Linked DNA regions of Callithrix jacchus. The protein of the gene in region 2 purifies or fractionates together with the protein of the main gene of each other region. This does not show direct contact. Links are inferred from orthologs where the notes say so. Each region holds a gene or a part of one and is shown on either strand. Other genes may lie near its edges.

Evidence for each region.
Region 1: the proteins of RNPS1 (region 2) and RBM25 purify together in Homo sapiens (affinity purification with mass spectrometry; 3 studies listed by BioGRID and IntAct, with this or other methods). This does not show direct contact. The link is inferred for Callithrix jacchus from reciprocal best matches to the Homo sapiens genes RNPS1 and RBM25.
Region 3: the proteins of RNPS1 (region 2) and PRPF6 purify together in Homo sapiens (co-immunoprecipitation; 3 studies listed by BioGRID and IntAct, with this or other methods). This does not show direct contact. The link is inferred for Callithrix jacchus from reciprocal best matches to the Homo sapiens genes RNPS1 and PRPF6.

Annotation. Positions count from the first base shown.
Region 1 is NC_133509.1:108,087,231-108,090,879, reverse strand, and holds part of RBM25 (RNA-binding protein 25), read right to left. Parts: intron 651-3,649; coding exon 364-650; intron 1-363. UniProt on the Homo sapiens protein: RNA-binding protein that acts as a regulator of alternative pre-mRNA splicing. Involved in apoptotic cell death through the regulation of the apoptotic factor BCL2L1 isoform expression.
Region 2 is NC_133513.1:4,501,855-4,505,603, reverse strand, and holds the start of RNPS1 (RNA-binding protein with serine-rich domain 1), read right to left. Parts: upstream 2,691-3,749; 5' UTR 2,633-2,690; coding exon of another isoform or gene 2,631-2,632; exon of another isoform or gene 50-2,630; intron 1-49. Other genes in the region: uncharacterized protein LOC144578542, read right to left, coding at 2,782-3,749. UniProt on the Homo sapiens protein: Part of pre- and post-splicing multiprotein mRNP complexes. Auxiliary component of the splicing-dependent multiprotein exon junction complex (EJC) deposited at splice junction on mRNAs.
Region 3 is NC_133506.1:59,507,710-59,511,031, reverse strand, and holds the end of PRPF6 (pre-mRNA-processing factor 6), read right to left. Parts: intron 1,726-3,322; coding exon 1,599-1,725; intron 890-1,598; coding exon 737-889; 3' UTR 622-736; downstream 1-621. UniProt on the Homo sapiens protein: Involved in pre-mRNA splicing as component of the U4/U6-U5 tri-snRNP complex, one of the building blocks of the spliceosome.

The DNA.
Region 1 (3,649 bases), on a different chromosome or scaffold from region 2:
TAATCCCAGCACTTTGAGAGGCTGAGGCAGGAGGATCACTTGGGGCTGGGAGTTCGAAACCAGGCTAATCAATATTGTAAATCCCCATCTCTACCAAAAATGCAAAAAAATTAGCTGGGCATGGTGGCACAAACCTGTAATCCCAGCTACTTGAGAGGCTGAGCAATAAGAATCACCTGAACCCAGGAGGCAGAGACTGCAGTGAGCCAAGGTTTGCCACTGTACTCCAGCCTATATGACAGAGTAAGAATGTCTCACACACAAAAAGATTCTCTCATTTCATGAATGCAAATGGTACTCTGGAAGACTACCTGGTAGTTCTATTAAAGCTATCAGGAAACAGTGACTTCTGTAAAGCCTTACCTTGATCGACTTCGATCCTTATTACGATCTGAGCTCCTTTCTCGATCCCGGTCACGATCTCTCTCTCGATCCCGATCTCGGTCTCTCTCTTTTGTCCGGTCACGGTCCCTATCCCGTTCTCGTTCCCGCTCCCGTTCCTTCTCCTTTTCTCGTTCACGTTCTCTTTCCCTTTCTCGTTCCCGTTCTCGCCTTTCTCGTTCCCTTTCACGCTCCCTCTCTCTTTCTCTCCGTTCTTTCTCAATTTCCTGTCTTTCTTTTTCCTTTTTGCCTTTCTCTTCTTCCAGTTTCTAGAAACCAATAAAAGCACTTTTAGAGTTAACTCTGTAGCTCCAGTATTCAGATATTTCCCGGCGCAATCCCCAATACTGGGAACAAAAACACCAAACCACTGATATATTAATATTAAATACTTGTGGTTTTATGTGACAAATTAAACTGAAGCAATCACAAGACTAGAAAGATTTCGTGCAAAACCATATACTCTACACAGACCAGGAATCTCCAATCTTGGATGCTGGGAGATCGTGTCAGGTGTGGCTGGCCACTCAATGACTATGTACTAACTAAAATGACCATGAAGAAAGTGGTTCAAAATATTTTCTATAAATACAATCACTTGGGTAAAACTCAACTCTGTCCATTATGGATTTCTGTAAAGCCACAAATTAATTAATACTAATTATAACCCCAGACTGCATATTACCTAAAGTTGAGGGTTTCAAAGGGCAGGTGGTGCAGAATACCCATAATCCAACTAAATAATCTCTGCCCTCCGATTTGCCCACCCTCCAAAAGAAACACAAGCTGAATTCAACCAAGAACTGCCTTATTATCTGTGGAAACATTTACTCCCACCATTACAAGATGGACAGCCCACACAATACAAAAAGTTTGAAAATCACTCACTTCAAGCAAAATATATGTAACTGTAATAGTTTCATTTAAAATATTTAAAAGCAATATACTTATACCCATTATGCCTGTAAGACAATAAAAATATATTTACAATGATAAATCCATCCTTGGAAGGAACGATTGTGCATTAACTTACAGATGCTGTGCTAGGACATGGATCGCCAACACTGGATTAACCTTCCCTACAAGCTATGTTTCTGGGAGGAAGAGCAAGTACATGGTTCACAAATAAACCAAATAACAAAGTCAGACCAAGTTTGTACCCTGACAAGATTACCAGTGTACCACACGGTTTCTACACAAACTCAGAAAAAAATATCCCAAACAGGTACAACAACAAAACACATTTATCCCTTTTGTTTCATGTTTAGTTTCACCAATATGAAATTTAAACTGCAACAATAAAATGTGCATTTTTCTTTTCTCAGTCATGTAATGCATTTAAAACAACTTTAAAAAGCAATCTTACCTGTCAGATACTCTTTTTCTCTTCCTCATGGATCAGAGAACTGATAGCAGATTATGAAAGAGAAGCTAATGTATGAGCAATATATTCAGTTGCTGTGCCGCTCTATATCAAAGTAGTAGAATGCAGGCAAAGCCAAAACTGAATACATTGAAATTACAAAGGAATGAAATGAGAAATGATAGAAAGAAGACAGAAACTGACAGCTATTAAAGGGGGAAAATCTCATTTCTGAAACAGTTCTAATGAATATAAAAATTTATATTGTAAAATGAGGCTAGACTATATAAAACTTACCTCAATGGCATACACTTATAAAGAAATTTGTTTATTTCTGAAATAGATACTTACAGAATATTTTAGCTGTTCCAATATTAATTTTTCTTGTAGAATTCCTCAATTTTTAATTCTTATTTCACTGTGCTACTTATATTCAGTTATATAAATAACCATTTGTTTCAGAACTCATTTCAAAAGTTTGGTTCTAAGTAATGAAAAAGTGAGTGAATCCAGTCCATATTAAATGTTTCCTAAAAGTTTACATATTTTATATACACACACACACACACACACACATATATAAATATATGTAATACATGTAAACATATACATGTATATTTTTAAAGACTGGAGAAAGGAAGTGAGGCGAATCTAAAATTATGTAAGAAAGTAATGAAGGAAAAAGGACAGATTAAAAAATCATAAATCTTACCTTATTCTCTCTTCAGACTCATCCGTGCTGTAAATGGACGCCCCCTGCCACGCTGATACCCTGACAGTCTGTGGTTATTTAATAAACTCATACCAAAACATGCAAAGGTTCACTGAGCTCATTTTTTGTTACTGGAGTTTCAAACAACCCTTTTAGCCAAACCACCCAATTTAAAAAAAAAAAAAAAAACTTTTTGGTTTTTCATTTTGATTTCTTTTTATTTTTAAAAGACATTCTGAAAATTCAAAACATTTCCTCCACTGAATAATACTAAGGCAGTGAAATGCCGAACAGATTCTCAAACTTTAAAGCAAATATATTTTTAAATTTTTCTTAAAACGTGATTTTCTCATCATTTACCAATAACATGACAGAGTTTAACAAATAAATAAAAACAAAAAGGGGGTAAACCACACACACAATCATATACCATTTTTAAGCTTACTCAGTCCTGAATTTCAGTATTATACCTAACCAAAATGATTCATCTAAAGTGATTTCCCACAGACCACCTTTTTTCAACTCTCAAAATTAATTTTGGGAGAATTGTTTGTGCTTTTAGACACATTTAATTCTTGAAAAAGCACTGTGTATGTGAGTGAGGGCTGGGCATCTGGATAATATGTGTTCATTGGCATTATATGTGAATTTGAGATTTTGAAAGCAATGGGAAAATGTAAGAATAAAACAGAAAATGAACATTTAACATTACACTGAGTAAAGATCTCTCAGTCTATCAGTAAGAATCAGCAACACCTTATTACCTCTAACATCAAAATACATTTCATGCAGTGTTTGCATTGCACCGTCCAAAAGCATCATTTTCAACACCAGCGAACATTCACAGATGCACTGTCATTGAGAGAAGCTTCAAATAGGCAAAACTCGTGAGTGGGATTTACTAGGCATAAACACCCATTTCCAAGCCAGTTACCCCTTTGCATATTTTTCTGAGGGGGCATCCATAAATATAATAAAAAACAGAAGCTCATACTTACATCCTATTCCTTGTTACTTTCCAAGCTGAGAGTTTCATCTTGCATTAGTCACCATATGATCTCTATCATAATGGTGGGGGTCAATGAATAGATTAGCTTTATGGGAATTTACAGTTCTTCCATGCATCTAAAATTTGGTAAGTCTGGTAACCACTGACCTACTTTTTAATATCTCCCCCACTCAACTTAAATCTA
Region 2 (3,749 bases):
CACATGCAAGTGTGCAATTTACTTCAAATAAAGCAGAAATGTAACAAACTTTTAAGGGTTTTTTTCGAGACGGAGTCACCAGGCTGGAGTACACTGGCACGATCTCAGCTCACTGCAACCTCTGTCTCCTGGGTGTAGGTGATTCTTCTGCCTCAGCTTCCTGAGTAGCTGGGACTAAAGGTGTGTGCCACCACGCCTGGCTAATTTTTGTGTTTTTAGTAGAGACAGGGTTTCACCATACTGGCCAGCCTGGTCTCAAACTCCTAACTTCGTGATCAGCCCACCTTGGCCTCCCAAAAGTGCTGTAATTACAGGCATAAGCCACCGCTCCCAGCCCTCAAGTGGTTTTTGTGGGCATTAACTGTATAATTCAACCTTCCTATGTGCTTAAACTTTTCAAAAATAAGATGTTGAAGAAAAAAAGTAGGCACTGAGGTTTCGGGAGAGACTACCTACCACGTAAGACTACCTACGTTTAAGTTTAGCAAAACGCCTGGACTGCAGCGTGTGCTCAAATAATGGTAACAAATTACTCAAAACAAACTGCTAATAAGCTATGGGCTCTATTTCAGAGGGACTGCTGCCTTCAGTATTTCCAGCCAGGTCTGCACAAGCTGCATGAGTTTTTAAGTAAAGCTCTCAGGATGTGAGTCTCAGCTACTTCTGTCTCACCTTCTCCAACCAACAGCCTGTACGTAAGCAGGGCACAGCACACTAATGGGGTTCTGGTTTCCCCATGCAGAAATGCCAGTGCTGAAAACGTGTTCTGACCAAGAAAGAAGAGCACCTGGCTTTGAGCTGTCAAATGAGTCATGGAGGGCCGAACATCACCTTTGCTGCTCTTGTCCAGGGCATAGTGTTTTGCCTCAGAACAGTGATGTTCTGCAGACACCCAGCAGGCAGTGCCCGGTATGGCTGGTGTCCTTGGACAAACAGTGAGTATCAGAGTATAATTCCCAGTCTGGAGCCAGGAGGCCTGGGTTTGATTTGAAGTTTTACTGTGCAATTTTGAACAGGTCACTTATCGTTTTTCAAGTTTCTCATCATCAATATGGAGACAACTACAGTTCCAACCTTACAGTTATGCAGGGCATTAATCAAAGGCTCAATACATGTGAGAAGCAAGGGTTTTATCTTCACGTCCAGAGGCTCCTTCCCCCCCCCCAGACACTTGTCTCCAAAGTCCCACGTAATTTCTGAACTCTCTGCAGGGCTCCCGCACCCACCCACCTTAGGATCATCTGCAGCAGCACTGTCCAACAGAAATAGTGTGAGGAGCCACAAGCAGAATCTCAAATTCCTTAGTAGCCACGTCACAAAAATGGGTGAAATTAATTAACATTTGACACAAATCCAAAATACTTTTCCATCAAATAATCAACATAAAAATCTAAAGGTTTCTTTTTTTGTTGTTGTTCAGAGTAAGTCTTCTAAATTTGGGGTGTGTTTTAACATCTCAGTTTTGATTAGCTGCTGTATTTCAACATGCTCAGTAGCCACGTGGGGCCAATGGCTACCTCACTGGACAGCACAGATCTAGAGTGCAGGTCACACCCGCATATTCCAGCCCCACCCCCTAGTCCTAAAGATCTGCCCAAATGTACTCTGTGAAATCAAACACCGCTACTTTGATTCGCTTCGTGAGATCAAGGAGCACCGTTCTTAAGCACTCTAAGAACCACTGAGAAAGCGGACGCTTTGCTGGGTGCGGTCGAATGCTAGAAAGCAAAGGTTGAGGTTCTCTGTTCACACAAGTTCAGGTACCGGCTCAGGACCTCGGTTACCTCCCCCATCCTCCGGAAAGGTGCGCGTCCAACAGCCAGAGAGAGGAGAGAACAGTTAGTTAAATCTCGAGGAGAGGGCGTTTCGGCACAAATCTTCAGAGCGCCTTCCCCATTTAAAAGTACATTTCAGGCACAGTTCATGCGAAATCAAGACAAAAAGCCTACTCCACGTTTCTCCTCCAGCAACCTTAACCTTCCCGTATCCACCCCTCCGGGGTTAACCCATCAAACGGGGCCAGGCCACCGTGCTCGGTCCATAGCGGGCCACATCCCCCAGGCCTAGCGCCGAGAACTGCACACGGGAGCCCGGGAAACGTTCGCGGAGTGCATGTTTGAATCAATGCCTCCGATGGGGGGATCGGCCAGCCTTCCACTGTATCCCACAAAGAAACTCCGCGCCCGCCGGCACCGGCCCGACACGCCGACCTCGCCGCTCCCCGTCCGCGTTCACTCACAACTCCCTTGTCCAGGCGCCGGGCCGCGAGCGCTTCTAGGGCAGGGCCTGGCGTTGGGGGCCTGGGTCTCCGGCACGGCAGGAGGGCCCCAAGGGCGGAAGCCGCGCTCCCCGCTGCTCAGAGTCCCACGGGCCTGGCTGGGCCGCCGCCGAACGGACGAAGCAGAGGCGCCCTTCCGTCCGCCGCGGCCCCGACCACTTCCGGGCCACGGCCACGACACCTCCCACCCCGCCCACCCCGGGCTACACTCTTTCTTTTTAGAGTCCGCACCGCGCCGCCATGCTGCCGCCGCACTGCGGGGCTGGGGAGTGGACCAGCTTCACGATGCTTCCTGCCGGGCCTGACTGGCAACCCCTAAAGCTCGGATGCGGTCGGATTCCGCCCCACTTACATCTTCCCGCCGCCGACACCTCCTCCTGCCTTTCTCAGCCGCTCAAGCCGGCTCCGCTCTGACGTCAGAGTTAAGGAGCGGGAAGACGCTGCCGTCCGGCGCGCAGCGATGACGTAAATGCCTGGGCCAATGGGCGCGAGCGGTGAAGTGTTCAGAGAGTCAAGGCGGCGTGTGTGAGCCGCGTTGGAGCGCTCGCGGTGTCTCCCCGCCGGCGGTGTGTCCCGGCCGGAGGAGTCTGTGACTGGCCGGGCCGGTTGCACGCTTGCTGCAGCGGGCACAGGGGTAGCCTGCTGAGGCTGGTAGGGCCGCGCGATGACCGAGGCTCGTCGTCTGGCGCGGAGGGGGTTAACGCGGCCGTGCCCAGTCCCTTTCCTTGCGCGGGTGCTCTGGGCCCGCCTAGGCCTCCTCCGGCCCCCGACACCGGACGCTGGGCCCCGGGCCCGGCCGCGCGGCGGCGGCGGCGGGGTAGTCGTACAAGAAAGGCGCGCGGGCTCTGCGGCTTTGCTTGGCGCGACGTGGGGACCCGCAGGGTGGAGGCAGCTCGGAGAGATGGGCCGGGGCCGGGCGTGCGTTCGCGTGCTCCAGACCTACCGGTGGCGTTTGGGGTGCCCGCGTGGACGCGGCCTCCACGCAGGTGGAGCTCCGCCGGGTGGGCGCGGCAGCTGGGCAGTGTGGGCAGGAGGAGCGACGAGTTTGAGGGTAGGAGATGGGGTGCACAGGGGGGCGTCTGGGGGTGGTGGCCCTGCCGCGGAGACCCGAGAGGAACGGTGCGTGTGACGGGGTAACAGCAGGGGCCGAGGTTCTCTGGAAGCGGGGAAGGTTCCGCGCGAGCTTCGCGGCGGCAGCACGGAGCGTGTGAACGGCGCAGCGCCGAGGCTTCATTCAGCTGCGGGTGCGGGGTCCCGGCAGGGAGAGCCCAGAGGTGGCGGCGCCTCTGGCTGGGACATGGGAGAGGGTGACGCCGTAGGGGCGCAGGCCCAGACACAGGCGGGAGGCTCCGCACTGGCGCCCCAGACGGAGAGGGCAGGTTGTGTTCACTGCTGCGCCTGGCGGGCAGTCGTTGCCCTGTGATTGTTTGTGGAGGGGTTGACGGTGCGCTCAGCTTCGGACTTTGAACAG
Region 3 (3,322 bases), on a different chromosome or scaffold from region 2:
TCCAAGCCTGAGGAAGTCCTTCATCCTCACACAGCTAAGGCTGAAAAGAAGCCATGTCTCCCAGGTAATACAACTTTCAGTTACAAGTGCTTTAGGGGTTTAACTGCTAATGATAAATTGGCAAAAATAAACTCATCTCCAAAAGTAAGAACACCTCTTATTGGTGACACTGCCACTGAACATGTGCCTGAGAGGCCTGGGAGGCAGTGTGGAGAGACCCTGGGCGAGCTGACCTCTACTGTTCCAAAAAGCTGCAGGGACCACTCAAGACCACAGGGAAGCCCCAGCTGTCCCCTGACCAAACTCTTGCAGGCAGCTGCCAGGCTCCTGTGAGCACCTTGGCCTGCACACAGCTCGGTCCCCACTGTCTCCAGCTGTCCGCACACATGGCTTTCACCTGGAATATCTGCACCCCACCACCTTCTCCACAGTCTTGGGGAACCCCAGCACCTCCAATGTCTCCTCTGTGAGACACTGGCTGTCTGCAAGAGGCTTCTGCCCAAGCAAGGACAATTGCAACCACCCCAGGACAGCATGGGACAGGCCAGGACAGGCCCAACTGGGGCAGCAGAAGCAGGAGCCAGGGAAGAGCCCCAGAGAAAACCAGCAGGCCGCCCACTCTGACACAAGACATAAAAACTTTTAATGGAGGATGATAATGAAGGAGGACACAGCCCAGAGCCCTCCACACGCCCTCCCCCGTGCAGCCCAAGCCCTGTCCATGGAGACCGGCCAATCAGAAGGTGTTCTTGATGCGGCCGGCCACCAGCCTAAGGACCTCCCCAATCTTCTTCTGCCAGTTGGCGATGTCCTTGGACACGGCACACCACAGCTCCCCATGCCGAGGCTCTGCGCTCTCACAGCGCTTCCTCACCTCCTCCTGCTGCTCCTGGTGGGACCACAGGGCACTTCAGGCAAGGGCCCTCCCAGGCCACTCCCCACCTGCCCCCAGGCAGACCTGGCTCTGGCAGTACTGACCCCAAGTGGCAGGTGAGGGGGCACAGGCCCTGCACCAGAAGGCAAAGCTCTTCCAGGTGTGTTCCTCAAAGGAGCCCCTCCTGAGGAGCATGGACTCCCAATTGTGTCTCACACAAGTGCTCACGTATGCCTTCTCCAAACAAGGAGTCAGGCTTCACATGGGCTGGCACCACTTTCCAGGGAGGACGAGGACAGCCTGCCTGCCCTCCAGCACAGCTCTGACAATGCTTGGCTCCAGGGGAACAAGTGGGAGCAGAGGGAGTTGCTGTCGAGGCTCTCCCAGAAAGCCACACCCAGGCTCAGCCCCAAGAGAAAGGCCAACTCCATTCCCATTCCTAAGGTGAGCACAGGCCCCAGCCAACAAATAACTCATTAAAATGCGCCAGCAGACAGGCCATTGCAAGGGACTGAGCACCTCAATTCCAGCGTGTGGGGCTGTGAGGCTATAACCAGAAAACGGATGTAGAGACAGAGACTGCCTCGTGGGGAGGTGTCAAGGATTCCGTGCCCCACCCACCCTGTCTATCCTCCCAACCCGGGCAGAGTCACGCTGGCCTTGGCCACCTCCTAGAGCCCTCAGGGCTGGTGGAAGTCCCCGCCAAAGTCCCAGAAGGCCTCACCTCAGTGCCATGCTGCAGCTCAAACTTGTAGAAGAAGGCCCAGGCGTCCCCCAGGTCCGAGTCGATCTTCACAGTGCGGTGGAACCACTCCCTGGCCTTGGTGATCTTCCGCTCACTCCAAAACAGCCTGTTCCGAAGACGAGTGGGAACCCAGAGTGAGTGGCTACAGGAGGGTGCCCTGGGAAGGGGAAGGGCTCCAGGGCCATCAGCCTCATTCCTGACACGGCGGCCCTGCACTCCACTCAGGAAGGCCTGAGGAACAAGGCCTGGGCTGATCAGGAAATTACCCCAGATTAACTTGAAGCCATCCTTCACCAATCTAACCAAATTCTTTCTTTCTTTTTTTGTTTTGAGACGGAGTCTCGCTCTGTCACCAGGCTGGAGTGCAGTGGCGCAATCTTGGCTCAATGGAACCTCTGCCTCTCGGGTTCAAGCGATTCTCCTGTCTCAGCCTCCCGAGTAGCTGGGACTGTAGGTGCCACCATCACGCCCAGCTCATTTCTGTATTTTTAGTAGAGATGGGGTTGCACCATGTTGGTCAGGCTGGTCTCGAATTTCTGACCTCGTGATTCGCCTGCCTCGGCCTCCCCAAGTGCTGGGATTACAGGTGTGAGCCACCATGCCTGGCTCAAGTTGTTTCTTTTTTTTTTTGAGACCGAGTTTTGCTCTTGTTGCCCAGGCTGGAGTGCAATGGCGAAATCTTGGCTCACCGAAACCTCCGCCTCCTGGGTCCAAGTGATTCTCCTGCCTCAGCCTCCCAAGTAGCTGGGATTACAGGCATGCACCACCATACCCAGCTAATTTTTTGTATTTTCAGTAGAGACGGGGTTTCACCATATTGGCCAAGATGGTCTCGATCTCTTGACCTCGTGATCCACCCACCTCGGCCTCCCAAAGTGCTGGGATTACAGGCGTGAGCCACCACGCCCAACCCCAGCAGCAACCCCAGTTGAGTGAATTTCTTAAAACAAAAAATTCACACAAAGAAAGATCTTCAAAATCCTTAAAATCAGGGTCAAATATAAGGAGATGAAACTAAACCTGACAAATAACTGAATTACAACTTTGATGAGGGTAAATTACGCAGTTTCAGCTCCTCCCTGAGACACCTGCTGGATCATCCTGCCTCACCCGGCCACCAGCAGCAATCCCAGTGAGCACTGAGACCGCAGGCTCCAGGCAGCGCCAGGGCCTGGGCCTGCAGCCCACAGCTCTCACACTACTGTGCCTGCCAGACACATAAACGCCTGAAAACCAGGCCCAAAAACGTCCATGCTGGACTATTAAGAGGCCAGGTGAGAATATACATGGCACCCCCACCCATTGCTAGAGAAAGGACGGCGGGAGCTGGCTGCTGGGCACACTGGCAGGCCTGGGACTCTGCGCTGCTGCCACCTTCTCCTCAGGGTCACCTCCCCTGGAGCCAGAGGCATCGGAGCCAACATGAGGAACCCTCCACTCCAGGCAGCTGTGTGGGTTTGTCTCAGTTGCCAAACGGAATAATTTCATACTCTGATAACCTGATTGTTTTTTAAGCCTTGTGGTATTCTTAATTGCCTGGTGTTAGATAAACTGATTTAAAGAACACAAACCCAGATAGCAGACACACAGAACACTGGCTGGGAAGAGCAAGGAGTGACTTATTTACTTTAGCAAAGACTTTTATAGGGTTTTATGGCTTCCCTATCAGAGTGTCACCCAGAAGTCCCTCTGGGAGGTGGATG